4 linked regions of the Drosophila melanogaster genome follow. Changing the gene in region 2 together with the main gene of any one other region gives a genetic interaction. Each region holds a gene or a part of one and is shown on either strand. Other genes may lie near its edges.

Region 1 (9,632 bases), on a different chromosome or scaffold from region 2:
GCAATCATGATAAATGTAGTGACGAAGCGCACCAGCCAGCGGTAATGTAAAATCATGCGCGTTTGTTACTAGACTTTTCAGATTTTCAGCATGGACGATCGTGACAATGAAAATAAAATAGGTAATCGATCAAAAACGATTCGAAAAATGAAAAACAAAATTTTCTGTTGTTAATCTTTGCGTGCTAAAATAAAAAGAAAAAACTCTTCGTTTTCCATAACTTTCCATTTCAAAGACGTTTTCGTTTCAGTTGTAACAATATTGTGTTTGTTTATTCATTAATGTATGTATATGTAGATTTAATATATATTTAATATTAATAGTATTTATAAATTTCTTGTCGCTTTACTGTATGTATTTGCATTAAGTTTAATATCTACAACATCTATTTACGCACTTCAATGGATCAGGTGAACATATGCTGCTTACAGTGCGTTTCGGGACATTAAGGCAGTACATAGTATGTAAATATATATGCACTTGGGATGGCCGGCCATTCGTTTAGGAAAGCAATTTCACAACAGCCATTTTCGGATTGAGCAAAAATCGTACGACTGTTTTTACGGAGTCAACTTGCAAAAAAAAACAAACAGACAACAATTTACAATTAGCAGTTAAAATTAATTGAATAATACAGTAACTGTTTTCGAGCCTAAGGTAATATCAGTTGAACCTGAACAACACGTAAATGCAGAGCATAAATCGATGCTAACCTTTGCATACACCAATTACACTCATGAAACGCACTGTTGAAGCATACACTCAATCAAGCCTTAAAACATTCGCGGCCAAGTCAACATTTCACAAGGAAGCCAAATTTAACAGTGTTGTCTTTTTGTGGGACTAACAAACCAAAAGTGAAATATATATCTTATATATATATATATTTATATAAAAACAATGAAGTTTATTACAAAATAATAATAATCATAATCGTATAATTGGTTTACAAAATGGTGTATATCAGTAGTAATGATCAAAAAAAAATATTTGCTTTTTGGGGGAATCCTGCGCACATACATATATAAATTGAGTAGCAACGGAAAAAATAATATTTGCATTGCTTAACTTTATACAATTCGCTAGCCAGTCGCTCAATTTGTTCTCTTTTATATAATTACACTTTTTTCTTTACTAATAGCATAGACTATCTTGATCTTGATGTCAATATTTTAAAGATTGTAAACGATGCAGCGCGGTTGCATCGATTTAGTTTAGTTTATAGGCTAATACCTAGAGAACAGCTGCAATTGCTGCAAGGTTTGTTGAAGTGCGATCGTGTGTATATATGCGTGTGTTCGTTTCCTGTGGGGATGAGAGCTTCCTGGGATTCCCAGCTTAGCACCAATGCCTCTGCCTTTCATTCAGATGGACATTTGCTCCTCCAACGCCTCCGTCTCCGTTTCCATCTCGGTAAGACAACAGCGACTTAGGCTACCGGGAGTCGTTCTCTGTTAGTGACAGTGCTCGGTTACGTCCACGATAACCGATTTCTTCCAGCAGAAGAGGAAGTAACCAACGGCGGCGCCCAGGACAACCATCAGGCAGAGCCACACGTTGTATGTCATGAAGATCAGCATGAGCAGGAAGGACAGCGTCACCTGGAGCACGTGCAGCAGTGTCTGGAGCAGGTGGTTAATCGACAGCATCGAAGGTCTGTTCATATCGAAAGAATTTTACATTTAGTTATAATTAAAGCAAACATCGAACAAAATTAGCAGGACAAGAAAATATACATAATTGAACGTAAACAAAAATCAAAACAGAACTAAGTATTGCTAAAGACTATATATATATATATATATTTATATATCGCTGAGCTGCTCTAAGAATTTCCATTGTTAGATTAAACTACCATTATTGATTAGGGTTAGATTCTCTCTAGATTAATTGCCAACTTGAGCTACAGGTGTGTAATACTATATCTTGTGGTCCAGCCAGATATTCTGTACAAATGACGGGCCAATTTGTAAACCGACACGGATTCATCGTCGCCGCCGAGCGCAGTTGTTTCCATTAACTTTTTCCCATTAACTGGCGCATTGGGTATATCGGACATATCGGATAGCCAACAACAGCTAAATAGATTTAACTAATTCAAATTGTAGTGAGGCATCAAAATTACACAGAGACGGTAATCTATATAACACATATGTACGTATGTATGTATATTGATTGGGCAGGTGGTCAAGTGGTGTACATATACATATGGTGTGGTCAATGGAGCGATACTTACGGTTGCTTGTGCACAACTTCGCCCACGTATCTAAGAAAGGATCGATCGAAGCGTGCCGGGAGTAGGGACACCACACGATTGCGGATGCGATTCGCGGATGCAGATGCAGATACAGAATCAAATTGAGTTACAATATATATATGTTTAGTTTCAATTACGGTCGCGTGAATCACAACAATGGCCAATTATACGATATTAACGAGGCAGACCGTATCGATATGAATTTGGTTTTGAATTGGGTTTCGTTTAGTTTTTTTTTTTTTTTTTTGTCGAGATGATTCAATTTACAAATGAAGAGCGACGACGCGCATTGATGATGATGCAGATAGAGATATTGATGGTATTGATCAGAATGTGAAGCGGTAGCGGTAACGATTTGAACGATTTAACGGGTAACAGCATAACGAAAACGAAACGAGAAGAGAGAAGAAAGCATTAAGATTAATATATACAACAAGTTAAGTAAATACAATAGATACAAAGCTACAGTATGGGTAAGGGCAACAGGCATGCGAAGGGGATACCAAAGATCCAATATGATCCATTCCATTCTACAATGGGTAGCAGAAAATCCGAAACTCACTGAACGGGCGATGGAGCTGCCGCTGCCGGCGATGGTATGCGCGGTGCCTCCGGATTTCTTTGTGGCCCCGTCACAGGTCGATATTCCAGCAGATTGTATGTCTTCCAGAATAGATACTCGCGGTAGTACTTCAGTCCCTCGTACATTAGGGCCAGCAGGAAGATGGCGATCATGGAGCCGATCAAACCGGCCACTGTTTCGATGTGCCACCAGGAGAACAGGATCGTCTCGTTGTAGCCAAAATGGAACTGTTACGATTGAGGAACATTATTTGGTTAGAAATGAAAATTCTTCAAATACTACGTTCTCTTACCGCCATGGGCATCATGTGCTCCATTCCCGTGCCAGAGCCACCGCCATGATTGTGCGCTCCGTGAGCGGCGTGACCCGCGTGACTTGCCTGCAAATCGCTGGTATCGGGGATCAGGTCGAACATGGAAGCTGCATCCATTGGAGACGCTGTCGCAGCAGGTATACCGCTGTGATCGTGGTGCATGCCCACATGATCGTGATGCATCGAGTGATCTGTGGATTGCGAATGATATAGATAAGATGCTAGATGCTAAGCAGGCATCTTCAATGTTTTGGCCAAATCACACAACACCTACCAACACCGGGCGCACTGTGATGGGCGTGGTCCATAGCAGCTGGTTAACCGACTTCTTATTGTGGATCTGCGATTAATGACTGCAAAGAAGAACGGAGTGAAAGTCGCATTAAGTCTTTGCCACTCGTAAGTGAATAATAAACAATGTACATAAATGATAGCAATGGCTACAATGGCGGCCAAGATAATAGAGCTTTCTCTATATAAATTCCCCATGAAAGGTTTAAAGATCAAAACAATCTTGCAACTAAGCTGTTATTACTATCTAATATAAACACTGTAACATATATATTATATTGACCATTTTTATATTATTTTTATTTTTGTAAGTCTAAAGTTTGTGTTTTTTTTGCGGGTCAATTGCCAAGCCCCAAATCGCATCAAAAACCGATATATCTCAATTAGAAAGTCAATCTCTGAACAATCCAACCTCCGCCCTTTCCCTTTCACATCTTCGAAGGGAATGTCCAATGACGAATGCGAAATGTGTAGCTGGGTAAAACTGTGTAACTGGGGAATGTGAAATGAAAATGCCACACATAACTCTGCGTGCTCCATTCACAGGAAACTGCGTGAGGCAGACCCGACACCCGATTCCCCACACCCCCGCCATAAACTACCACCATATCTGACCTTGGATTAACCTGGATTATAATGGGTCGCTAACGACTCAACCAACTGCTGTTCCACTTCTGCAAATGGGAACACTGCGAACCATAATTAAACAGTGCTGGATACTTCATTTATTTCACTTTTTTGTTTGCCTCTGTGTCTGTGGTTCACCGCATTCAGTTAATATCGCAGTTTTAGTGATAAGGTGCTGCGACGACACCACATTGCAAAGTAATCAGTGAAACATGCTCGAATATCGAACCACTTGTGGCATGCAGTCCAAGAAGCTCGCTGCTATGACAGGATGTGCGGCTGACTGATATGAGTTTAGGCATACATAGGCAAAAACCTCTAAAAAATGATCCCAACTAATGATCCATTCCTTTGAAATTGTGGCCTACTTCCTTCGATATCCGTAATGTGGACAACTGTCGTCAAGTTGAAATGGTCGAAACAATAATCCAGTCCGCATTAATATTGCAAGCAATCACATTCGCCAATTCCATTGAAGAGTTAAAACACGTATTCCTCCCCCTTTTCACTGTAATCAATCTCATCCCATATCTCATTAAAACAAACAAACGAGCTTTAGAAATCCACTCGTGGTACAAAAAAAAAAAAAAAAAAAAAAACCCGCTTCGCTGGCATTTTTGTTCTGAGGAGCGAAATTTCTATAAAAATAGGTAAACAAGTGTACATTTAAAACCTCTTAATGCGGCGATCTGTTGAGGAACGGATTGCTTTAGCCTTCAAGCGATGAACTCAATAGTTATCCAACTGAACTGGACTGGCACAACTGGTTAACTGGTTGGCTTGGCTGCCACTATTTTCGGTTTTGGCCCGAAATGAAAGGAAAATTAGCTCGGTTACGGTAGTAATTTGTTTTTCAAGACAAAGATCGGTACGGCAACCAACGACTTTCAAAATAACCCATAAGCAGAGAACATACGCCACATAATTGCTACTCTGGGATGCAGCAATTGTAGTTCGATTTGGAAATAATCATTGAACACAGTGGCGGTGGGGAAAAACTATAAAAACTATTATTCTGGTGCAAAAATACAGAAAAGTTAAAGTTCAGGGTAAATTTGCGTGGTTTATAAATAACATTCTGTGGTTTGTTTGGTTTCTATGGAATCCCTGATAGGAAATCGTTTGGGCGCTTTTCTTTGGGAGGCAATGGGAACCCCCTTTTCAGCGCCTCTGATAATTAAACAGCAGAAAACTAACGCACTGGGACCAAACCGGTTGGACCTATTCACCTCTATCACTCTCGCTTTTATTCGCCTGCATTAGTAGCTTTGCCTTTACACAGAGAGAAAAGCATTTGTTACTCTTATCATGAAATAAACCATTATCACTAAATATTGTTTAAGATTTGTATATTTTCTAGTTCTATTTTGGGCAAGTAATAATGAATAATCTGCGTTTACCAGTAATATTTCTATTATGCTAAATGCTAAGACTCAGCGAAATAGCTAAGATATTTTGATATAAGTTTGAAAATGGAATTTCACGACGTGATGAAGTGTGATTCATTATTCATATTATATTAAAGAATTAAAATAAGAATTGAATTAAAATTTAATTTAGTTCCAAATATCAAGTGAAATTTAAACGATCTAGCAACGTAAACTTTTTTCTTTCTGTTTATTTGCATGGACAAATGGCATTAACCGTTGCTTCATCTCATCAGCTGATCTCCGCCAAGAGAGCCCCATCCTCTGCTCCTGCACACACACACACACTCACAATCGCACCAATTGCGAAATGTCAAATCGTGACCGACATGTATTGCAGCAACAAATGGGAGAGAAACGGCGAGAGTGCGTGTGTTTTTTTTCTATTGCAGGCCGGGGGAGCTATTATATCACATGTGTAAAGAAAAGAGAGTAGGAGAGAGTTTGTTGATCTGAATTCGAACATACATATATCACTCAACGCACGAACACAGATAGAGGGTTAATTGTGCTTGTAACGGTATAATTGACTGATAAGCGATTGGCACTGATAATCACAATCGGTATGCAATCGCTGATTATCGATAAGGACTCCTAAGCTTTGTTTTTAGTTTCGTTTATACTATTTCACGCATTTCGCGTTCTTTTTGTTGTTGTTGTACTTACTGCAATTGGCGGGCAATTGGCTCGAGTTGTAACAATCTACAATGTATGTATGTATGTATGCTGTAACACCGGTTTAAGTGACGAACTCAACGGAATGTCTAGCTAAAAACAGAGAGTCAACGAAAAATGCCAATAAGCCAACAGTCGTACATTTTAAACAATGCATGCAGCTGCCGTTGACACCCACCCAACCCCCTGCACCAGTCATTTAACAACAATCACAGTTTCTGATTTTATTTTGTGCTTCGTTGTTGCTTTTTGCGCTAAATCACACACGCACACACACTCACTGCAAACGCTGAGCTTTTGAAGCAAGCGAGATAGCAAGAGTGGACCGGCTGCAGCATCTTATGAAAAATAATAATTGCTTTAATCGTTTTTGCAAGTGTAAAACCCGATCTATTTCACAGTGTTGTTATCCAATCACACATGTGTGTGTGCGTCCAGCCCACACACCCACTATTTGTATTATCAATTGCACTTTATCAACGCAAGTTAAACCGAACTCTATGTTTATGTATTCAAATGTTAGGGGCTTACTTTACTTCCTGCGGCAAGGAAATAAATAATATTAAAACAAAATGCGCACGGTCCGCCCGCAGACAACTTGTTCGCACGATTGTTGATGAATTAATTGCAAGCATATGTTTTTTTATTTAACAGTGCGCTGCCTACGAAAAGGCACTAAATAATGCCAAAAAATAGTATTGTAAAAGACGAAGTAGATGGAGTGCAGCTTAAAAATGAGTAACTTATACAACTTATTGTCGCAACAAGTAGCTAATTTATGGAATTTTAGTTTAATTAGTTTTGGTTGAATTTAGTTTTATTTCGAATAAATAAAAACAGCTGTGTATCAGTGTGCACACACCACGATTTCTTCAGTTATCGATAAGAAACCAATCGGCCGGGGACCGTCGCCAACATTCTATGTGCGCATTAAATTAACTTGTTACCTTTAAAACCCTCGTTTCTTAACCAAAAAAAGGTAAAGTTAAGCAACAAATTACTGTAACAGTATATAAATTAACATTCAAATGCATTACAGGTTTTAGGAAACACCTAGCAGCAGCAGCAGAATCTAAAACCCCATTGGCAACCAAAACACGTGCCAAAACAAACGATTAAATTTTCCGTAAAAGTTGTAAATATAAAAAAAAGTCAGCAAGATGGGAATGGTATCGAAACGCAAGAAGATGCACTATGGCGATACCCATCTGCAGAGGAGATGGCGTGTGCGGAATCGACGTCGTGATCTCGACCAGATCGACGACGATCTGCAGACCCGGAGCGGTGAACTGATCAATCAGAATGTGGATCTCGACAAGCCGGGATTCGCGCAGTTCTACTGCGTGCACTGTGCCAAGTACTTCATCGATGACACCGCCATGCAGGCACATTTCCGCACCAAGGTGCACAAGAGGCGTCTCAAGGCCCTAGAGATCGAGCCGTACAGCATCGAGGAGGCGGAACGCGCCGCGGGACGTGGCAGCTTCGTGAAGCCCAAGAAGCGGGCGATGGAAACGCAGCCATCGAAGGAGGACGTGGTCGCTGGCAAGAGGATCCGAGTGGAAGTGGTGCCCGAGGATACAGATGCCACCGATTCGCCATCGACGTCCAAAACGAAGCGCAAGAAAGTCGAGAAAATGGAGACATAGGCGAGGAGGATGAACCAATCTATTGATCTAGCTTAGTTTTTAAGGCCCTCGGGGACAGGACTTTCTTCACCCCCCTCCCACAGAACTCTGTTTACCTCCAATTGCTTTCTTTAAATACATTTTTTTTCCAACATATATAAATCGATTCAAAATTAATTTTCATTTAATGCGCGCAAGGGTGGCGAAAGATCAACAAGCTTCTAAACAACAAGCAGTTCAACGCTTCCAAGCGGCAAAGCTTTATTTACCGTTCTTTTGATTTCTCTCCTGCAGCTCAAAAGTTCAAGTTCTCTCCGCAAGCGGTCACTTTCTTCGTCCGTGAGCAGCGGTAAACACAAAATGCGATGGCTGACGCGCTTTAAAATTAAAATTAAATAAATATCAGCGTCGTTTGCTGTCGAAAAGTGCTACAAAGTGTAATTAACCAGTGAGCGCAGGTCGACGCAATGCGTTTGATACGGTATTTCTAGTTTAAACGGGTGAAATTGGTAAATTTCTGCAATTTCCTCATTCTCCTTTGGGCTCATTCTCCGTTGGCGCGTGTGTGGGTGTGTTGGTGCGTGTTCAACTGGCATTCTCATGTGCACTTAAGAGTATGCTACGTTTTAGAGCGGTGATCTTGTGCATTTTGCCATCGCGAGTGTTTTGTTGTGAAATGGCTCATCAAAATGTGAGAGTATTTGTGTTTTTTTTTATATTTTTTTTTAGGTGATTTGTGCTCAATAAATGTGAAATTAAATAATGTACAACTTTAATTGCATGGATTTATTTTGAAAAGGGTGAGTCATTTAAATTTACACTTTAATTTTATGAGTCCTATATTTGCAACTGAAATATAATGAATAATTTAACGTACGGTAACAACAATATGCGTACTAAAATCCCCAAGCATTTGTTTGTTTAAGCAAATAAAGAATAATTTGCACAAATTTCCATTTTTGGAGCAAAGAAAATCAAGGCCTTCATTCAATCTTCACGGTATAAATATATGTATTTGTCGCTCTTATATCCTCGTTCACATGGTTTTCAGATATACAATAATTATACCTAAGTAGGTTAGCTACAAGACTATTCGAACTATACATGATGGGGATAGTGCAAAATTCTTTGCCACTGGGCGATGAGGGCCATGCACTTGGGTCGCCTTCGTGTTCCTTAATATACAACATTTTGTAGCCTTTCGGCCACAATATTTCATAATCAATCTCTCCTCGTTTGCTTTTTTGGTATTCCTTGCCCATTTTGTTCATGATTGAAACATTTCTTTAAATATACATTTGTATGTTTGTTTGTGAGTGTTGTGTGTGTTTGTTGCGTGGTTTCATTTGGTTTTATCTGCCTGCGGCTTGAGGTAAGTAAATGTGGCCTAGTGGGGCATTGGACGAGTTTCTTCTGGCTCTGGGTGCAATAATGAGATATGCTCTTGAGGTGGGTCTATATATATGTACAATCATGATCAGCGAACTGGGTATAGTATATGTATGTATGTACAAGTGGTGTATGTATGTTTGCATGGTGGGGACTAGTTTCACAGCTTGTTAATGGCCGCTTGCTGCAGATCAAGGGCAACCTGCTGCTTGACCTGCTCCTGTGAGGCGGCCACCGTTCTGTGACTTTGATATCTTTGTCGACGCATCTTGCGCGGCGTTCCATTGGCCAACTGATCCTGCTCCGTCTGCTCGGCCTCCTCGGCGGCCGTAAAGAATGGATGCTTTAGTGCCTCTTCGGCGGTAATTCGTTTATGGGGATTAATCTCGAGCAGGCGATCCAGTAGGTCATAGGCGCTGGGTGGAAAACATTCGTATGCGTC
Region 2 (6,079 bases):
AAGCTCAGTAATGAAGAAAAGGAATTCGAGGCAGAAAACACATTGAGAACCATATTTGGCTGCGAGTTTACCGAGAATCTTTCTAAAGAGATATTTGTGCGACCATCGCAGGCTACAAAATGTAGGGATAAAGCGGCACATATCTATCAGCCCGAACCGCTTGAAGTGGAAGACTGTGTGCAACCTCAACTTCAGCCACGTGATGATGTAAATCAGAATTATCATAATGAAATGAATGAGCACGGCATATACCGTGAGGATAATCATGATGGTGAGTTCAGCCAATGTTTACAACATGCTATCGTAAATAAAATATAATCTCATTGCAGATACCTACAGCGTAATGATGAGTCTCTTAAGCATTTGGCGTAATAATCCGAAAATCACGGGAATCGATGCCATTGATTTTATAAAAACGTTTGATAGTCGCATCAAGGCTTCGTTAGCCTTTCTCCATTTGTTGTGTGAGTTCGAAAAAGAACAAAATGTGTGTTGGAAATAACGTATAGCTTAAATTTCAGATCTTGTTCGAGACCATTTTATAGAGATATCAAAGCGAGCTAATTCGCTGGAAATGTACCAAATTACTCTTGGCAAAGAGTCCGCTAAGCTAATAGACAATCTTATGCTGAGTGAGACTCTGTGAATATTTTTAGATAATTTTTTTCAAGATTACCAAACAACTTTGTAGTTGACAATCTTCCACATTTTTGTTGTTGTTTTGTTTTCTGTTATTGCTATTGTGTTATAACATATAAGTTGAGCCAATCTCTAACCTAGATGGCTTTAATCTACTCTTTTTCCATACAATCTTATGGTACAATTGAGCAACGATGTCCTGGATAATTCGTTTCATTTCAAGAATTGAAAAATTCTATAGATGTTACTTGTTGCTGTCTATAAAAATAGTTTTTTTTTCATTATCATATTAGTTTCGTGTACCCATTAAAAGTTGTTTGTTATCTTTGTTACTATTACGTTATCGTAGCTATAATTCATTAACATTTGGAGTAATTCTCTAAACCGTAATTGTTGTCTTTGTTACAAAATCTCAATTTCTCTGACAACACCAAAAAATAAACAAGTTACAAAAACAAAGGAATACAGAGTGTTTGGCACAATTGCTTAAATTCCGATCTGCTGGGCCAGACCCGAATAGATGTGCAGCGTGCAGAATCCAATGACGGCCGCCACCAGCGCTTTAACAGCCACCGTTAGCCAAGGTCCAATGGTCAGAATGTGGAGCATGCCCTCCAGCCAGACGCCTTTGAAGACAGTCACCGCCAGAAGTAGACTAACCAGCGGCTTTAATGCCTTGTTCAAATCGTGACGGGTGAAGAGCCAGATCAGGGTGGCCGTAGTGATGTGCTGCACCAGAAGCACGTTCGATTCCAGACACTTGAGGATGTAGATCCAACTGAACTCGGTGCCTCGGGCACCCACCCACAGCATGATACCTCGGGAAAGAATCACTTCGGCGGTGGCCCCTGCGGAAGTATACGAAAATATTTAGTTTTTACTAAATTTTTGGAAGTTGTCATACATATATGGGTTGGGGTATTAAAGGTTGAGTAGGCATTGGCTCTTGTAACATTAATATATCTGAACAGAGTACTTTTCAATCTTTAAAAGCCACCCTCATCATTAATTAAGTTTAAATAAGTTGGTTCGTTCAACCTACATCCAAGTCCAGCCGTTATGAGCTTTGAGTGGCCCTTGCCGGGTATGCGACTCAAGATTAGGGCGAATCCAAGCAGATCGGCGATGTCCATGCTGCAGCGAAGAATCTCCTGCAGACCAAAGAAACCACAACATGACCTCAATAATTGGGTGAAGGTAAACAAAGATAAGCACACGTACCGCAAAGAAGTTGAACTCGCCGCTGGAGGATGGAGCGTCCGAGTAGAAGAATGTGGCCAGCACCAGCATCTTGACGAGCTGTGTGAATATATAAATGCCTCCCGCCTGCACGCACTTCCAGAAGGCTCCATATTCTGATCTGTGATTAAATAATAAGCCGGGAAAGTTCACAAATAGTTTTTTATTGACCTGGTAGAGCTGCGGACTTGGCAGTCGGCAAATCACCAGTAACCAGAAGTAAACTCACAGGCCGGAGTATTTATAGGTGAAGTAGTACGGCGTCAGCAGGGCCACACAATTTCCAAAGTGATACAGTGTCATTTTCTTTGATAAATTATGGCTATTTTATTTTGGCTTAATTAAGAGAAGAATTAAAAGTTGAAAAGAAAAAAACTAGCGTTGCTTGCCGTGGGTTATCGATATGTGCTTAACAGGGCTGACGGCATGTCAGGCAGACTATAAAAAACAAGCTAGTTTTGCAGACAATATTTTACAATAAATATTTTAATAATAACTATTATAAATAAATATTTTGAAATATTGGAAAACGTGTGTCTTTCCGAACGAAAAGAAGTAGCAACTGTTTTAATCTGTTTCGTGCCTATCGATAGTTGCTTAAATATCAACACGTCATCGTAATCTATCATCTGGAGGTGTGTTCGTGTGTGTGAGAAGAGTGTGTGTGTGTGCGTTTGAGTGAGTTTTCTGCAACCTTTAGCAATTATTATGAATTTTTTGACAAAACCATTGGGAAATACTTGAACGGAGACCAAATTTTACTTTGTTTAGGACACACAAACCTGCCAGCTAAGTGACGAGCCAAACATCAAACGGTAAACCAGTGCATTAAAGGAGAAAAACAAAGGGGAAATTTTCGCAAAGAAAAGTCCAACAGATCATTTCGTTCGTGTGCATATGAAAAACAGCAACGTCAACTCCCTGGTAAAAGCTGCAATCTGAAATGAGATGCAAACCCGAAGACGCCTTCATCAAACAGACCAGCAGGATTACAGCAGTAGCAGTACCTATACCATTCAAGAGGATCAACAGGGAGGAGCAGGCGCAGGATCTGTGGGCACGGGAACAGCTGGCGGATCGGTAGGACTATTAGCACAGTCCCTGGTTCCACCACCAACTGGTCACGAGGCGGCCATCCACATTGGAGACAACTACCAGTCGGGCGATTCCATTTCCACTCCCGATTACTCCGACGACAAGTACGGCAAGGCGGCCCGCCAGTGGAACCTACGCGCCTTCTCGGGCCACGCACTGCGCACTTTAAGTGCCGCTGCCGCCGTGGTCACCGGCAATCAACCGGGCATCAATAACGATAGCCAAAGCAACTATAGCTACCCCGCTTCCATTCCGACTAGTTCACAGTTTTACCAATCGAAGGAGGAGCCGCAGGAAACGGAACCCGAACCAGAAATATTCGTCATGGCCGCACGCGATCGAACGGGCGAGTTCGCCAATGCGATTCGTTCCCTGCAGGCTCGAAATATCACCCGGGCAGTGAATATACGCGATCCCCGCAAAGCTAAGCAGGTTCAGAGCTACTCGGAGTTCATGATGGTCGCCAGGTTTATTGGCAAGAACATAGCCAGCACCTACGCAAAACTGGAGAAGCTCACAATGTGTAAGTACATGTTTTAGTAACCCCTTAAAGTCATATTCAAAACTTTAAAATTCCCATCTTCGTTTTAGTGGCCAAAAAGAAGAGCTTATTTGATGACAGACCGCAGGAGATTCAGGAGCTGACCTATATCATCAAAGGCGACCTAAATGCCTTAAATCAACAAATTGCCCGACTGCAGGACATCTCCAAGGATCAGCGGCGTCACACAAACGGCAAGCATTTGGTGTCACATTCCTCTAACATGGTACTGGCCCTGCAATCGAAACTGGCCAGCATGAGCACGGACTTCAAGCAAATCCTGGAGGTGCGCACGGAGAACCTCAAGCAGCAGAAGACGCGACGTGATCAGTTTAGCCAGGGACCAGGTCCGTTGGCCGCGCACACCGTCTCCCCCTCGACAGCCAAGCAGGGATCTTTGCTTCTCAGCGAGGAAAACCAAGCGGTCAGCATAGATATGGGGAGCAGCGATACCACACCACTCCTATCAACCCAGACACAGATGGCCATCTACGATGATTCCGATAATTACGTCCAGCAGCGGGCGGAGACCATGCAAAATATAGAATCTACCATCGTTGAGCTCGGCGGAATATTCCAGCAGCTGGCACATATGGTTAAGGAGCAGGAAGAGATCGTGGAGCGTATTGACACGAATGTGGCGGATGCGGAATTGAATATTGAGGCTGCCCATGGGGAGATCTTGAAATACTTTCAATCCGTCTCCAAAAATCGCTGGCTGATGATCAAAATCTTCGGCGTTCTCATATTCTTCTTCTTGTTCTTCGTTGTTTTTATGTCGTAATCAAACGCCAGTTGCCCATTAAAAGCCCCATGTACCTATCCATGTATACAGCTTTTTATTTTAATCAAGATTCAATCACAATATTGTTTATTCCAAGCTGTGGCCTCCCGAAACGATTGTAAAATAAAGTTATAAATACGTTCTAAAGCAAAATACATTTATTTTAGCATGTGGTTCTTTGGTGAATTTTTCCATTCTAATGGAAGCTCTAAAATTAAATATAATTTCCAAAATATAAAGCCGAATGATAAATATGTTTGCTGATGTAAGAAACTTGTATATTACCTTAGAAAACGTGTAATGCAAGTATCAAATTGGAGAGAGACTATATCTATGTTTGCCCTGCTGATAAGGTTTAAGTGCCCTTTCATAATCTTTATTATCTTAAGTGCTCGTTGCTCCATGTTCGTCGTGTTTAGCCAAAAATTCCGCTGTCCCTCATGCTAAACAGAAAAATGAAAATTGGTTACATTGATTTGACTTTTATTTAATGCTTAAAATCCAACTACACCAAAGATGCGATATGCAAAAAATAATCAAAATAAAAACATGTTACAATCTCTTACTGCAGAAAAGTATTACAAATTGTATGAAAAAAACAAAGCTTCAAGATGTCTTTATGGATTTACACTAGAATTTACAAGTGAAGTATTGTTCGCGGTTGATGGGGACTCTTCCCCAAAAAAGGAAGTCCTCTACCCGAGTTTAGACAACTAATACACGACGCTGATGCGTTGGCGCCAACACTGAGATCCCCAGGCAAGAGCTTGCCTATGTCGAGATGAGCGAATAAACCATGCTAAAATTAGCAATTAGAAACGTTAGACAAATGAGGACCCTGGCCACAATGAATCTCAATTAGACTTACCCGTATATGTAGTAGAAGAAGCTAATCAGATAGACGGCCAGTTTAATCCAACCCTCACGCATGTTCCGGTACAAAGTATCGGTTTTCAGGACCGTGGTGGGATCATAAAGTCCGGGTCCCGACATCACAGGGCGGTTTTTGTAACTGAAAGCGATAGGGGTATTACAAAGCATGAGTGCTTAAGGGTGCTTATGTTGGGCTTGGGTGAATCTTGATCTCCTCGGATCTCAAATCACATTATATCACACGGTCAAATGAGTCACTTACCGCCAAATATGATAGGCTATGAGGGGTATGTTGATGCATAGCGAAAACCATTCGCCGCAGAACAAGAAGAGCAAGTTCAGAAAGATGTGCAGAAGGTATTCGGGCAAAACCAGCTGAAATGCAAACACATACATTACAGGGCGCACTGCGGGTGTAAGCAGTAAGTTTACTGACCGGATTGAGGCTATTGCACTGATCAATTGGGTTCTTATAATCCGTTTTAAGTTCGTCGAATGCAATGACATGAAATATGGCGAAAAATATCAAGAATGCATCCCCGATCAGGGCCACTATGTACGTGAAGGCGGTGAAGTTGAAGGCCATCTTGTAAAATCGCTGGAGCACGTCTTCCAGGTGCTAATCAAAGTGACTTGCTAATTATTATCGTAAAATTCGGCTTTGCAATTGTAGCGCTGGGACTCACTTGTTTTTTTTTTACAAGGGCGGCGATGATGACAGCTGTGCGCCAGGGATGCACTAATCTAAACGATCAGGCAGCACAGATGTACGGTCACATTGCAAATGAGGCTAATAAATAATCAGCTATCCATTATAAATCAAATATAATTTCATTTAAAGAAGCAATTTTAATTTCTAACGAATTATAATGTTTTGTATTAATTTTAATTCTCTGGTAATTTTCTCT
Region 3 (6,561 bases), on a different chromosome or scaffold from region 2:
TTTGTAAATTTTCAATCTCTTTTATTTGGCTGCTCTTATTAAAAGCATTTGTTGAGACCGCTTAGTGTCGATTCACACGTCAGATGCATGCCTACAGTGCTCACTCGCTAAGTGGGATCACTATTATACATACACCTGTGCTATCGATTGTTACAAATGAATAGTGTGTAATTTAGAGTTCATATACTTTATATACTGAATAATCTGAATTTTTGTTTGATTAATTTGTATTTATAATAATTTGTAGCACTGTATGTGTATTTGTATCTGTATCTATGGGATGCATTCTTAGCATGTTTGTTTGTGGTTTGCACTGCAGTTTTCGCAATCGTTTGCCTTTGTTTTTGTTTATCGCCAATCCGCGAATCTTTGCTGTCTTATCTTCTTCGGTTGCTCTTCTTTCGTTGTTTTTTTCAGCTCTCTCTTTCTTTTGTTTCATTTTCACCTCTTTCGAAGCACATTGATGAATGAAAAGCGTTGGTGAGAGTGGTGGTGAAGACAGGTGAAAGGGGGGAAAAACGCAAATCGCCGATAAGCGATGAGTATGCGGAGTTCCCTTGGTGGCTGCACTTTTTAGCTTGTGATTCATATTCCGCTGTTGCAATTGCATTTGTATTTGCACATTGCGCTGGTTAGGCACTTTTCCGGCCGAAATACCACCCTCCCCCCACCACCCTTCACAGATACGTCCCTGTTCTTCCAACTCCAAGAAGAACCCCCCTTCTGAGTTTGGTGTGAAATATTTACGTGTAGACAACATTCCACTAACTGCAGTTGCAATGGCAACTAAAGTTCCCGTCCGGGCGAAGCAAACACCGTTTTCCACTTCTCCTTGGCATTTTTACCCACATTTATTTTCGGTGCATTTCCGCCTGCCATTTGCCAGGTTGCCTTATCCTACCTGAGTTTAAAAATATAAAAATAAATCTGAGGGAAAATGGTTGGCACTGCAAGTGAAGTACCCTGGAATTGATACTGCAAGCAATATATGTACTAAGATATGAATAACAACATCTAGTCGCAGTATAAACAAACCAAATATCATTTTAATGACCAAAAGTTTGAGTTTTCCCATTGAATAATTACGTAGCTTCACTTGCACCATTTTCCGAGCAATCCGACTGGTCAAGTTTGTGTAGAAACCCACACCAGATGCATGTGAATCCCAATAGACTTTTGCACCCTTGGCTGCTCCATCGAGGGTATTTGGTAAAAGGAGTTCCTGCGCTATTCATCTGCGCCTTAGTTCGAGCATAAACATTTCCTAAACTTTTATCTAATTCAGCAAACTGCAGCAACAACGTCAGCAGCTTCATCCATTTTGCAAGATTCCCAAGACATTTCCACATTTTCCGACTCATTGTTCTTGTTGTTATAGTTATTGTGTGCTCCATCTTTGGACTTTTGTTTTTCTTTATTTATTGTTTTTTTTTTGTGTGTGGATCTCTTTTTTCGCATTTTTAGCGTGTTTCAAGTTGTTAGGCATTCAACTTTTCACATCGCTGCTCTGCTTATTTTTTGTTTTTCCGCCGCGAAGGTTTTTCCTTCAGCCGACTGTGTGTTGTTTTTTCGGACTTTTCGTTTCGCGTCGGTTTTGTGCAACACACACACACACACACGCCACTCGAGTTCTTTGTTTGTGTCGCTTTGAGACTTTGGGGCGCCTCAGCGTGGCGGGGGCGTGGCTGGTCGGTGGGCAGTGGGGGCTGGCGGGGGTGCAACTTCGAATGGTTGCATAATCCGGCAATTTCTTACGGAATTTATTCAATTTCTGAAGCACTAACTAGCAGCATATATACTTGTTATTTGAAAGTTAAATTGATTAGCTTAAAAGTTGAAAATATTTGTTAACATTTTTGGTTCAGAAAAGCCTAGTTGCACAACAATTTTTTACACACTATTTCGCTTCTGCACTGATTTATGAGCTCTATTTTGTATGCGTTTGTGCGAGTGAGTATCTCAAAGATACCATCAATGTATCTGTATCTGTATCTGGAGTGTGTGCGTGTGCACCTTGGCCGACAAGACAAACTACAAAACTGCTTGAGCCATTGTCTTGCAACAGCTCAACTTGAAATGTCTGCCTAGATTAATGCGAATGCGAGAGGGTCTGACACTAATGAAGGTCAAAGGTGATCCAAAAGGGAAGAGCGGTGAAGGGGTGAAGGGGTGAAGGGGTGGTGCGGAGGTGGAGACAGCTTAAGAATGATTAAACACTATAAACTGTTGACTTCTGCGCTGGAAAATGGGGGAGAACGACACAAATCAGTTGCTGAATTTAATAGCAGTCAGAAGTTTTGGCCAAATTTAGTTCAGCAAACGGAAGCAAATGGTAATTAAAGTCTTACAACTTGGATAGTAATTTTAATTCACAGCTTTCCTTTGATACAAATATGACTTGGGAAACTTTTTTTTACCATATATCTTTAAAACTTTTTCACTTCTGCACACGTTAGTAAAAGAAAAGTGGCCCGAAAATGGGTAAACAAAACTAAGCCACCCTGAAATCAGGTCTTTGGGTCTTTTTTCGACTTTTTTTCATTTTTTTTTTTTGTTTGTTTCGCTATATTGTTTTTATTTTCGGCGTTGCCTCTCTCACTCTGACGCGTATAAAAGCAAACTTGACACATTTAAAAACTATATATTTACAAACAAAAAACGAACAAGAGACACGAAAAATTAAAATGCATTGCGTATGATTTTTTCAAGAATAGCCAACGCATTAATTTTTTCGTATTTTCATGCACTCGACAAAAACTTCACCAGTGACAAAAGCCCAAGGCAGCCCCAACTCCCCTGTCATTTTGTCCATGATTTGTGCATCTGAAACGGATCTTGGTTTTGATTTCCATTTCGATTTCGAGACTTTGGCACTTTTATGTTTAGCAAAAGTTTCACGAGAATAGAAAAATTTCGGAAAGTGAATAAAATTCGCATCGTTGCGATTGAATGAAATACTTTTCGAGGCTGCGTAAATAAATCAAAGTGTAAACAAAAGTGAGCCAAATGTGGCGTCTTCTCGCCCTGGAGACACACGAACTTGGTGGGTTTGGTGGCAAGATGGATGGCCAAACTGGGAGCTCCGAGGACCGCCCACACGCACAGACAGACCCTCTCCATCGATCGTTGGCCACTCCTGCCTACACGCACATGGGTTTCCATTCGAAAAGAGACAATGGAAATCGAATAGCCAACCAACCAGTAGCTAGCTGGCCAAGAAGTTCTGGCCAGAAGTTGGCCAGAAGTAGCACTTGTCCGAGATCCCACAAAAGATATCGAAAATGGAGCAGGGCAGCCCACACATACATATATATATAAAAACCGGGTGACCCGGGGGAGATTTCAACGGAAAGTGCTTGCCATTTGCTGACAGCTCGGGCGCAAACGGTTTTTAGTTAAATCCGCGCTCCACGTTGCGTATACGCAATGTGCGACTGGTGGCTGGCTGGGTGGGTGGGAGTGGTTGGTAGCATTGCAGTTGGCCCGTTGCAAACGGCAGCAAATACGGATGCCGAACGACAAGCACAGATGTTTTTACAACCCAAAAGATACAAAGCAGACAGAGATACTGATGCTGAAGCTGCTGCCGCACTGACAGATGCAGATTTACATGCACTGAAAACAAAAACTGCGATGGCTAACTAATAAGATTGGTTTCTGTTATAAATAGAGGATGGATATTAACGGCAGTAAAAGAGAATATTATATATTCAGTGCGATAATTTTTCGCACCATGAAGTACACCTTTATTTTTTGCAGTGCTCGCTCTAGTCAAATACGTTCAGCTCAGCATGGTTGAGTTTGGAGCTGAGTTTTGCCAAGTTTTAAGCCGATGGATTTATTTTTTTGGGGGGTTTTGCCGGGATCTCCGTGGGTGAGATATGGAATAGATGGGGGATTGAGAGTGGGAATCCTAGGCGGGGGGTGTTATGACTTACCGAGGGGGGTGATGAAATGGTTGACTCTTGTGCAGGCCATCCGGGGGGGGCAGGATTATGTGAACTGGTTGCAGCTTCTATTTTTTATTTCTTTCGAGGATGAGCGACAAGTTACTGCGGCAGTCGATCCGAGCAGTAAATGCTACGAACGGTACGAATGTTCGGTGCTTTTCCACTAAGTTTTTCCTCGGTGGTTTTTCTCTACTTTTCCAGTGAACCGTTAGTTGCGCGTGCTGCCGCCGGTTGCCGTTACAAAGTACCGTTCACAACTGAGCTCGTTTTTTATGCGGCCCGATACTTTTATAGATTCGCAAAGTGCCGGCCTGGCCAAAAACCGAAAGGGGTAGAGCCTCCTTACCGGAGGGTTTACATGTGCACAGTCCGCTGTGTTAGTTGTGCGTGTGTTTGTGTGTGTGTGCTTTTTTTCCATTTTGCACCCCTTTCGAAAAGCCGGCTCTTGCTGGCCAAGGTAAGAAACCCCCCCCCCCCCCTGCAAACCGCCTCCCCCTTTTAAGCCACCCTTTTGAACAATAAAGCCAGGTGCAGCAAACATGTTCGAGGTTCGAACGCGTTGCCAAGTTTTCCTTTGTCGTGGCTTTTTGCTTTTTTTGGCCACCATCCGGTGAACGGTACACGCAAAGGAGTCACGTGAGGAAGTGAGATGGGGCGAACGAGTGAAAGGGAGAGGGATAGCCAGGAGCCAGCTGGCTTTTACCGGCAGCTGCAGGTGCGACAGAGAAAGTGGAGAGACGGAGAGCGAGAGGGAGACAGTTGCAGATGCAGCCGCCGACGGATAATTAACAAGTCACTTATTAAGTTAGCATCTTTGTCCCCTTAATCCATTTGTGAAACAGTGTTTTCCCTTTTTGGCTAATTAACTCAATTATTGCATTACCAAATGTGAAACAATTGGGGGAAACAAAAAAAGCGAGGCTTATGCCTCAAATTATATCTGGCCAATGTTTTTTCGTTTGCAAACTGATCTTGGTACTGTAAAAAAGTAAAAGTTTATGTATAATTAGATAGATTTGATAAAAAAAACACCCAACGTTGATTTCTTGCCCCTGATAAATAAATCAAAGCACTTCGGTCGCAGCTGCTGTTTTCGCCTTGTTTATTGGGTGTCAATAGGTGCATCCATCAGATACAAGACACGAGATACAAGATACAAGACACGAGATACGAGCTACCACCAGCCACGAGATACTTATTTATGTGGGCTATCTCTGGCATCTCTTGGGACCAGTCATCTCTTTTGTATCTGAACTTGTTAACATATCGAGTATAATTTTGATGTGTTGTGGCCTCCTTCCATTTCCCAGCTCAAATAGCAAATAGCAAACAGCAAACATCGAAAGGGCCCAGATACACTTAACAATTGCAGAAACATCTTCATCAAATGGGCCTCATTCTGCTGCCGCTGACAGCTGATGAGGGCGCTGCCCGACCCTTTGTACCGCCCTAGCCCCCTCTCACTCCCACACAGCAGCTATCTCGCTCGCTCGCCCTGCGAATACCACCTCGAATCGCGCAGATTGGATTTGAATTGACTTCAAGATGAATAAGGTGGCAGTTGAATAGGGTCTATGGACCCCCTTTTTTTATGAAATTAAGGGTGCCAAGAGGATAACTGTTAATATAATATAGGGGTGCTGTTTGCAATTTGAATTAAATGCAAGCTAGTTACTATAAAATAACTAAAACTAAGATTAAAGTTTCTTCCACATTACTAGATAGTTAATATGAAGAAGGTAGCTCGATAATAAATTAAAAAGGCACCAAATGCTTTGGTTTAAAAGTTAGCACTAAATACTAGCAACGACTAAAAAGCTTATAATTAATATCTTGTGCCGCAAATGTTTTTCCAGCGCGACCAAAGAAAACACTTTCAATTCAATTCCATTACGCGCAGTCGTAAAATAGAAAACACAGGATAAACATTTGCCCATAAAAATTGCATGGGCTAAAAAGACAATTTTTTAAGCTGTCATTTTTTTCGTGTTTTGTATATTTTTTTCCTCGCTCATTTTCACTCTTGCCCATTTATTTTTTTATATTTTCTTCAACGTGTTTAATTGCACAAAAAAAAATGAAGAAAATGAAACGAAAACAAAGAAAAAATCATAAAAGCCAAAAATAATACACACAAAAAACAAGGTGAAAATATTGCGCAAAGCAAAAATAAAAAATCACAAAAATAACAAAAGAGGCTACAACAAAAATCAAACAAATTCAAACAGCCAGCGAAAAGCAAAGGCAAAAAGCGATTTATGCAAAACACAGATAAGCCGAAAAGTACAGGAAAAAAAAACAAAGACGATTAGGCGATTTAACGCACGCAAAATAAAATCCAATAAAATGTGATTACGGTTGGGTGGAGGGATGGAGGGGGAGCGAAAGGGACGGGGCGAATCGAACAGATGTTCGAACAACAAAAACATCAAAAATAACAGTGACATGCAGTGACGTAGGCGATGAAATTTCGGGGGTTTTGGGGCAAAAGCAAACACCTGAAATCATTGAAATGGAGGGGGGTTGAAGAGGGGAATACTTAATTTATTAAAAATATGCCTAATGTGTTTAAAGGATATTGATTGCAACCCCCCTCAAAATATCCTGCGAA
Region 4 (8,623 bases), on a different chromosome or scaffold from region 2:
AGTTTCATTATTCATTTAAAACAAAAACACTAAAGAAGATTTAATAATAAAGACTTATGTAGCAAAATAATACACTATGATACACTGTGCGCCGGAGAATTGACTTTTCACAAGTGCAGAGAGTGCGCCGCTGCTGGCTTTAATAATTAATAACAAAAAAAAAAAACGAATTTGTAAGAGTTTCGTTATTTTTACAGGCGGTGAATGAAAATCCGTTTCGGTTTTAATTTTGGCTCCTGCTGCCGGCAGCGCAGCTTTGCTTTTTGGCCCGGTCGTTGATCTTTGTCCGACTGGACTTTCGTCACCAAGCGTTTTGCATACGTGAGCGACCGCTCACTGACGCGCTGGCCGGGCCCCAAATCCGCGAATTATAATTACCCATCGATTGCCGGGTGGGTGGGTGACTTTTCCTGCGATTCGGACGCACTTGCCAAGTGCTAATTACGGACAGGATCCTTACTCGGTCACAGTCCGCAGAAATAAAGATGCAAAGCTCGTCTTTAATATTTGTTGGTATAAATCGTATGTCTTAAATAAAAAAATCAAATCAAATGCACCTTTTGGAACATTTATAAACTATAAAAGCTTAAAAACCTTGTGGGCATGCCAATTTAACCCATCTAAGGGTTATAAAATCACAAGTATTGCACATGACCAATAAGGCATTAGACTAAAATGTAAGTCTTATGCAGGGGCATACCCTAGTAATCATGTTGCTTTTCATATAGTTTCAATTATACGTAGACTTACTAATAGTCCTTACATTTACAATGTATATTTGGAGTGTGAAAATCTTTACGATCACGATGTCCAGAATTTCCCCTACCCTTTGGGCAAAATCATGATTGTGTCGAGCAGTTCCAGGGGCAATTGGCAATGCAAATCAATTTTCAGATCTTTGCAAATATGCAGCTTTAATTAGTTAATAAGTGGCGCTGACTAGCAGCTGACACCGTCGCGACATGGCCATGGCTTTGGGTGCTACCATGACTGTTGGCTATGGCTATGGCTACCCAGGATTCCTCAGACGACTGCCGCTGATAAAGCTGGACTGGACCACAAATGGGCGTCGAGCGCAATTAGCGCCATATATCAATTACCGAGCAGTGTGGCACTCCACTCCGCTCCACATTACGTATACGCAGACGACGCGCCGCTAAGGTGTTTTCATTATAAATCATTTATTCAAATTGCATATTACGCCGACCGACTGGCTGTGGTCAGCACCTCGGCCAAGCTGACCACTGCTCTGATTGGGTTCCGGCGTCGGATCTTGTCGCGAACAGCTGATCGATGGATCGGACTGATCGGATCGGATCGGGTGAGTACATGGTATGATAACCACTTGACGCCTTCCAAGCGGACAGCTGTCGGGCGGCGATCGCCGAGAAAAAACAATATTTAAATAAATAGGAGTTTTCAAAGAATTCAAGCTGCTACACTCCGAAACTACCAAGGGAACTAATGTGTCCTGGAACGAAAAGAAAAGGCAATCAATCAATTTGCATTATATATATTTTTGACTAAAGATCGTTTCAGCCGTTCTTATTAAAAAGACCATAGTCTTTGGGAAAACTCCATTTATTTTTAGCTATTGGGTAAATTACATAAATTAGTTTGTTATCCCGTTGGTACACATCAAGTTTATCCATAAAAGACATATCCATTTACAAATGATTCACATATATTTCGTGTTTTTCGAAAAGCTTCGATCGAAATTCAGAAATTGTAGCTAAGACATGCACCTTCTTTAGCTAGTTTTCAAACCCAAAGTGATCTCACTTATGGATGTAAAGAAAAATATAACAAAAATGATTTGTTTTCGTTTTTGGTAAAAAGTCATGTAAATAAAAATCACACGTATTCAAAACTGTGCGCTCTGTAAAATAACTTTCAGAATTATAGTTCTTAAGTATCGGTATAACGCTTAAGCATCTTAATTCAATTTTGATTTAAAAGATCAATCTATTAGGGCTGCATCATCGGATTTTTGTCTTTTTTATTTATCATGGTAAATGCAATATCCGTAAAATCCTTATAAAATACATCATGTTGGTATCAAATTCTCTATGTAAGTCTGTGCACTCAAACTGAGATTTTCATGGTGGACACCGACGGATTATCCTTAGTCGCTAATGCGAGTACTTTAAGTTCGTTGGTATCATCAAATTCAAAACTTACAAATTACTTGACTTTATCTCACAAGTTGGTCTTCAGTTACGCTTTATTATATTTTTTTTTTTTTAGTGGAACTTAAGCGAAGTATAGCGTTAGAATATTATATTGCAGCTGAAACCTATCATTGTGATTCCCTTTTGATAGCGGGAAAAAAAACACAATCATAAAATTGCACTAGGGTGGGTCGATTTCTTCGATTTGCAGAATATGAGTTTATAAAATTATACACTTCCTAATAAACAATAAAAGTGGTCACCGGTTCTGTGTATTAGGCTTGAAGGCAACTAATTTCAAAGTTTCACGAAAGTATAGAATTTTATAGAAACCCACTCTGCAAGTAAGATATTTTGAAATATGGGAATATATTATTATATTATATTACGTTGTACTTTTTTCCCAAAAGGTTATAAGTATTTTTGTAACGGTTTTTTGTTTTAATACATATATATATATTTTTAATTGTAAACACATAACCGTTTTTCCAGTTTGAATCAATCAAATCGAACCACTCTGCTGTTTGATAATGGAATGTAAATTAATTTAAAGGCGTAGCTAGTGCCCTTGCACCCTATCCATTTCCAGACCGCCCTCCTCCTCCATTTTGCTGAGGAACTTGATAACCCGCTGGTGAGGCTCCGATTGCCGGATCATATCGATGAGAGCCAGCAGCTTCTTGATGCCGATACACAATCGCTTACCCGCCATTTTCCTGGCAATGCTCTGCAGCTCCTCGGGACTAAACAAATCAGAATCATCCAGCACGGCAAGCACGTTCTCGGGAGTTGAGAGATTGGACACATGCAGGACGGACGTGAAAGCCGAGAGCATTTCCATCTCCTCGAGAACGTCCCGCCGGCTGGAAGTGCACAGGATCAGCAGTTTTCTACCCTTTGGCGGTTGCTTTTTCAGTAGAACCAATAGCGCCTGCAGCGTGAGATTAGAGTACCTGGGTCCAATTGGACCGTAGTCTAGCAATCGCTCCACATTGTCCACCACAATGCAGCTCAATGTGGAGCGATAGGCGTCGTCGAAGATCTTGCGGATGTGCAGGCACTTGGCTGACTCCGTAAATCCTACCATATCTTCCGGGGAGCAGACCTTAACGAATGGGAAATCACTCAACTGGGCCAGATTAGCGGCCAGCGCTGATTTGCCGGAGTTGGGAGCTCCTTCGATGAGAACAGACACCAGGCCAGAGCTCTCAGTGGCCTTCGCCTGCTGTACGGAGAGCATTCCGTCCTCCAGGAGTTCGGTGACCGGTGGGCCCCAGTTTATAATTCCGCGTGCCAGCAGATTTTCCAGCATCTCCTGGGCTGCTCCAAAGGCGGGCTTGATGTCGTTGTCCAATGCGTGCAGAAAGTCGGCTCGCGTAACACGCAGTTTTTCCATAGCCTCCGGGTCCACGTGAACCTTGGATCGTAGAAAAGCAAATGATGATGGTAATTTTAGAATAGTGGAACAGTCGAACGTTAATCGCTTTCTTGGTTTATCGAAACCAAATTACTCGAAATTAAACGAAACCCGAAACGCAAACCGAGAGATAAATGAAATAAGCGAATACGCCAAATAAATAAAATAACATTTCGATCCGAATGTGAATTAAGAGAACCCCCTTTCTTTGCTTTCACGCCATGCTGTGCATCATATACCTTGGAGTCCGCCTTTATTAACCGATTCATGGCCGTGGATTGGGCCGCTCTAACCAGACCCTCCAACTCTGCGCCACTGAAGTTCTTTGTCTTGGCCGCGATCTCATTGTTGTCCACATCGCTAGCTATCTTGTTAAAGTCACGCATCCGCTTGGTGTGGATATTCAGGATCTGGACGCGACCCTGCTCGTTGGGCAAGCTGATCTCCATTTGCACTTCCAAGCGTCCAGGTCGCAGCAGGGCCTCATCGATCATGTCCCGCCGGTTGGTCATTCCTATTACCAGGATGTTGTTCAACTGCTCCACGCCGTCGATCTTGGCTAGCAGTTGATTGACGACCGTGTCGTGGACACCACTATTACCGGCCACGGATCCGCGAGCCTTGCAAATGGCGTCGATCTCGTCGAAGATGATGATGTGCAGTCCACTGTTCGGTCCCAAGCGCTTTTCCTCCTCCTCGGCCTCGGCAAACAGTCGCCGGATATTGGCTTCTGATTCACCCACGTACTTGTCCAGGATCTGCGGTCCATTCACGATCTTGGGTTCGCGGGCATTCAGCATGGTACCTATTTGCCGGGCCATCAGGGTTTTTCCCGTGCCTGGTGGTCCGTACAACAGAATACCCTTAACGTGCTTGATGCCCAGTTGTTCGACAAGTTCCGGCGGAAAAACACGAGAGGCGAAGGCGCGTCGGAAAATCGCATTGAACTCTTTGTCTAGGCCACCAATGCCCATCTTGCCAAAGTCCCAGTCCGGATTTATGATGGACTGCCGCACGATCTTACCCTTGGAGCGACCCTGCAGATTTAGCACAGAGTTTTCGGCCTTCTCGAACTGCACCACCGTGTTACCGAGGATGCGGCCGAATCGTACGTTCCGAGTCTTCGGTAGGGAATCGCCCACTGTTCGGGGATCCACTGCCTCCAGCGTTTTTACAGCGAGGCCCAGGAATTTCTTGTCTTTGAACTGAAAGGCGGTAAACATCCTTATTAGCAAACGAACGATATATGTACATTAAGGAGCATGTTAGAAGAATTACTATGTTAAGATAGTTGCATTTCCTATGAGGGCAGCCTAACACACTATTTTTAGTTCATAAAAAAGGGGGACATTGTATGCTGAATTATTAAAAAAGATTTGGCAGAGAGCCAAAAAGATGATCTAAGGGAGAGTTACGTGTCTTTGGGTTTCTAATTGTTGGAGGTAAGCTACCTTGTTAATATTTGCATTAGGTCACCGTCTAAATGTGGAATATGAGATTCAGCATCTCATGACAATCAAGACACGTCAGTAAATATAAAATAACGAATATCGAATAACACAAATAACGAATATTCTCACTACCGCTATGCTATGAACGTATAAATCTTTTTGTAAAGTTATACAAAACCAAAATTATTATAAGTGCACACAATAAATGGTGAAATAATGAATAGGTGCGTCCGAGATAAACCGAGAACCCTCATTGAATTGGGTAGTATTTTAACTGGCTCTGGCATATATCACTAATCCTCTCCAGATTACTACCTTAGTTTCAGTCCTTTGCTATCTATTTTTCTATACTGCATACATTTATGGGGGAGCCACATCCACACCATTACCTGAAAGACGAGCGTTTGGCCGACGGTCAGCGGCATTCCGGCGAACTGCATGAGGAACTCCTTGGCCATCTCGTCGGAGTCGTAGGGCTCCTGCGTGGTGGTCTTCTTCTGCAGGAAGTCCGTCTCGAAGGAGACCAGTGTGATGATATCGGCGCTGGCATCGAATCGGTACGGCCGCACGTCTATTTCCTGGTTGATGGAGAGCGTGGCCCACTTGCGCTGGACCAGCGAGAATCCGACGTGGCCGAGCGGCAGCTCCGGCCCGCTGATCTTCTCCAGCGCGAAGATGTAGTGCAGCCCCGGGCCCGGCGAGATGTCCACATATCTGCAGGGTATCAAGCGGTGCGTCATTAGCATAAGCGAAAGTTTCCATAGGCTCGTACGCCCACGTAGGAAGTGGAAAAACAACAAAAACCAACACTCACTTGACCTCCTCCGTGAAATCGGACACATTCACAATCGCCTTGTTCGTCAGGGACAGCTCATCCGTTGGGCATTTGATCGCTCTCATCCGGTGGGCTTTTTCAATTGACATTTTCGTAGCAATTTTATAATATAATCCCGAAATTGTCTCAAACAGCTGATAGCCCGTTGAGGGAGTGCAACCCTGTTCGGCATTGCGTGTGTGTATGCACTGTGATTGCGAGCAAAAGATGCCTGCTACGGCACCTGCAGTGCAAATTTGAATTCATTGGCGCGCATTTGCATTTTCTAATAATACATATATCCCCCGCATTCAAGACTTCTTCGCTGTTGCTAAGCAGCTCTGCAGCACCAGGATTGGTGAAGAAAACAATCCAAAAAATGTGTTGTATCAAAAGCCAAATCCTCTAAGTAAATAACGATAAAATGGGTGGCATTTGCAATTCAAATATCTTTATTTTTACTTATATATATATAATATGGTAATAAAACTTGTTATGCCAATCACCAAAGACACTAGAACAATATAATATATATATATAATATATAATATATATTATATATATAATTATGTATATATATATATATTGGACAACGACATCAAGCCCGCCTTTGGAGCAGCCCAGGAGATGTTGGGCCCACCGGTCACCGAACTCCTGGAGGACGGAATGCTCTCCGTACAGCAGGCGAAGGCCACTGAGAGGTCTGGCCTGGTGTATATATAATATATATATAATATAATAATCTAGTATCTTTGCAATCACATTATCGGGCTGTTCATTTTAGTCTTAAGAACATTGCAATGCAATGGAAGCAAGTTCATCCAAAAAATAATGCAATATTATTTTTTTAGATGGTTTTTTTATGCTTACGTGGTTCTTTTAAATATAAAGCATTACTGAATTATTTGGAATCACTTGGAATTATTTTCCTGGAATTGTAGATACAATATTGCATTTCCTAACCTAACGTCTTAAATGTATTGAGGTACAAGTGGACTAGAATGGTTCCCTACCCATCCCATTGCTTCGCCCAATTTCTTCAGCAATTTGGCAGCTCGACGGTCGGGATTTAGGGAATTCACCCACGCAATCAAGTCAAGCAACCGTTTGATGCCAATGGAGACGTTGCGGCCATCCATGGCGATCTCGATTTGGCGTAGCTCCTCGGGCTCGAATCGTTTTGAAGCTTCCACTATGACCATAAGTTCTTTAGGCGTGGAAACATTTGGCACATTGTGAACTGAAGTGAAAACGGATAGCAAGCCCAGTTCCTCCAGGACATCGAGACGATTGCTTGTGCAAATGATGATGAGCTCGTGGCTGTTGGGCGGTTGTTTCTTCAGAAGAACCGTCAGCTTCTGCAGGAACTCCTTGGAGTACCGCTTACCCAGGGCGCCGTAACCAATGACACGCTCAAAGTCGTCAATGATGACGCAGCTGCGCCTGGAAACATAGGCGTCCTCCAAGACTTCCCGTATTCTCTGGCATTTTTCGGAATCGCTAAGTCCCAGCAATTCGGCCGACGAGATGTATTTTATAAAAGGGCAGTCTGTTTTCAAAGCCATTTGAGCGGCCACCGTAGTTAGGCCTGACTTGGGCTTACCTTCGACCAGATGGCAAGACCATCTTGGGCGTCCGGTGGACAGGAGATCATTCGGATCGAAAGCGGTACGATCTAGATATTCATATGGCATGAGCAGCTGGAGAGTCTCCTCCTGCCGGCCAAATCGTGGCTGAATGATCTTTACCGCGGCCAGGAGATCGACCTGAGTGACTTGAAGGCCCTTCGGGCATCTGGTGACGTGAGTGCGGACAATGGCTTCATGGAGGGCTTCTCGGACCAGTTGGCACAGCTCGTCCTCCGTGAAATTTTTGGTTTTCATTGCAATTTCGCGTGCGCAAACATCGCCGGCCACCGTAATGTCACCCAGCCTGTTGATGCGCGATTTTAAGAGGTTCACACGCTCCTCAGTGTTGGGTAAAGTGATGTTGACCATCTTGGCGCCCGGGTTGGCTTCTTTTATGGAGAAATTATATTGGATATGAAATGGTCAAATTGTATCAGCTGTTCTTTACAAAATGGTTTTGTATATTATGTTATCCACCTAAAATCGATTGCGATAACTGCGATCGATTTTAAATTTCAGGGACGGTCGAAGTTTCGATAAGACGGTGGTTCAATTCAAACCATTATATTGTAAGTTTTTATTATTTTATAAGGTAGCTTAAAATTAAAATAATATTAATATTTTGAATTGCCATTATTTTCCGAACCAATGTGTTATCAGCTTCGTTATGTATGTGTTATCAGCTTCGTATTACGATAGTGTAACCAAATTTCCATTTGAAAATACTGCTTTTCCACTTGGCTATTACAAAAAAAGCGCGCCACTTTTGAAAAATATCTAAACTTAAAATTAGTAAAAATAATTGCACACTATTTTATCCATCAAGTATTTTAATGCCTTGACTTTAACTACATGAAATGCAGAAAAAATTTCATCGTACATATATGTCACTTTAATATTTGTATTGTTTATGGCTAATAAAAATACCGATAGACCGATTGACTGGCGGTTTCGATGTACTGCAACCGTTACAATTTAAACGACTTTGTGATTTATGATATTCTTGAGTTTCGTTCCGTTTGCTAAAACCTAGGCACACATTATGAATTCCCGCTTTTCGGCTCTTCTGCTGGGTTGGCTGTGCAATTACTTGCAATATCGTATTTTTCTTCTTTCCTTGCCGCTGACCTCGAGCAGTTAAT

What was found.
Region 1: of Syx5 (region 2) and Ctr1A, changing one enhances a phenotype caused by changing the other (phenotypic enhancement), as found in Drosophila melanogaster (one study listed by BioGRID).
Region 3: of Syx5 (region 2) and ru, changing one suppresses a phenotype caused by changing the other (phenotypic suppression), as found in Drosophila melanogaster (one study listed by BioGRID).
Region 4: of Syx5 (region 2) and Nsf2, changing one enhances a phenotype caused by changing the other (phenotypic enhancement), as found in Drosophila melanogaster (one study listed by BioGRID).

The regions. Positions count from the first base shown.
Region 1 is NC_004354.4:6,658,874-6,668,505, reverse strand, and holds Ctr1A (copper transporter 1A), read right to left. Parts: upstream 6,860-9,632; 5' UTR 6,705-6,859; intron 6,267-6,704; exon of another isoform or gene 6,165-6,266; intron 4,843-6,164; exon of another isoform or gene 4,745-4,842; intron 3,507-4,744; 5' UTR 3,462-3,506; coding exon 3,428-3,461; intron 3,345-3,427; coding exon 3,133-3,344; intron 3,068-3,132; coding exon 2,820-3,067; intron 2,267-2,819; coding exon 2,237-2,266; intron 1,657-2,236; coding exon 1,455-1,656; 3' UTR 878-1,454; downstream 1-877. Other genes in the region: CG3224 (uncharacterized protein), read left to right, coding at 7,334-7,822; Cdc7 kinase, read right to left, coding at 9,351-9,632.
Region 2 is NT_033779.5:16,304,834-16,310,912, forward strand, and holds Syx5 (syntaxin 5), read left to right. Parts: upstream 1-2,512; 5' UTR 2,513-2,826; coding exon 2,827-3,496; intron 3,497-3,564; coding exon 3,565-4,298; 3' UTR 4,299-4,441; downstream 4,442-6,079. Other genes in the region: c(2)M (crossover suppressor on 2 of manheim), read left to right, coding at 1-271, 330-464, 522-646; CG5861 (uncharacterized protein), read right to left, coding at 1,126-1,487, 1,682-1,790, 1,861-1,999, 2,108-2,181; cni (cornichon), read right to left, coding at 5,070-5,097, 5,167-5,310, 5,434-5,546, 5,608-5,757. UniProt on the Drosophila melanogaster protein: Mediates endoplasmic reticulum to Golgi transport.
Region 3 is NT_037436.4:1,368,258-1,374,818, reverse strand, and holds the start of ru (roughoid), read right to left. Parts: upstream 4,192-6,561; 5' UTR 3,939-4,191; intron 1-3,938.
Region 4 is NT_033777.3:13,831,950-13,840,572, forward strand, and holds Nsf2 (N-ethylmaleimide-sensitive factor 2), read right to left. Parts: upstream 6,043-8,623; 5' UTR 5,964-6,042; coding exon 5,854-5,963; intron 5,754-5,853; coding exon 5,429-5,753; intron 4,794-5,428; coding exon 3,828-4,793; intron 3,589-3,827; coding exon 2,731-3,588; 3' UTR 1,548-2,730; downstream 1-1,547. Other genes in the region: CG31495 (uncharacterized protein), read right to left, coding at 6,825-7,850. UniProt on the Drosophila melanogaster protein: Required for vesicle-mediated transport. Catalyzes the fusion of transport vesicles within the Golgi cisternae. Is also required for transport from the endoplasmic reticulum to the Golgi stack.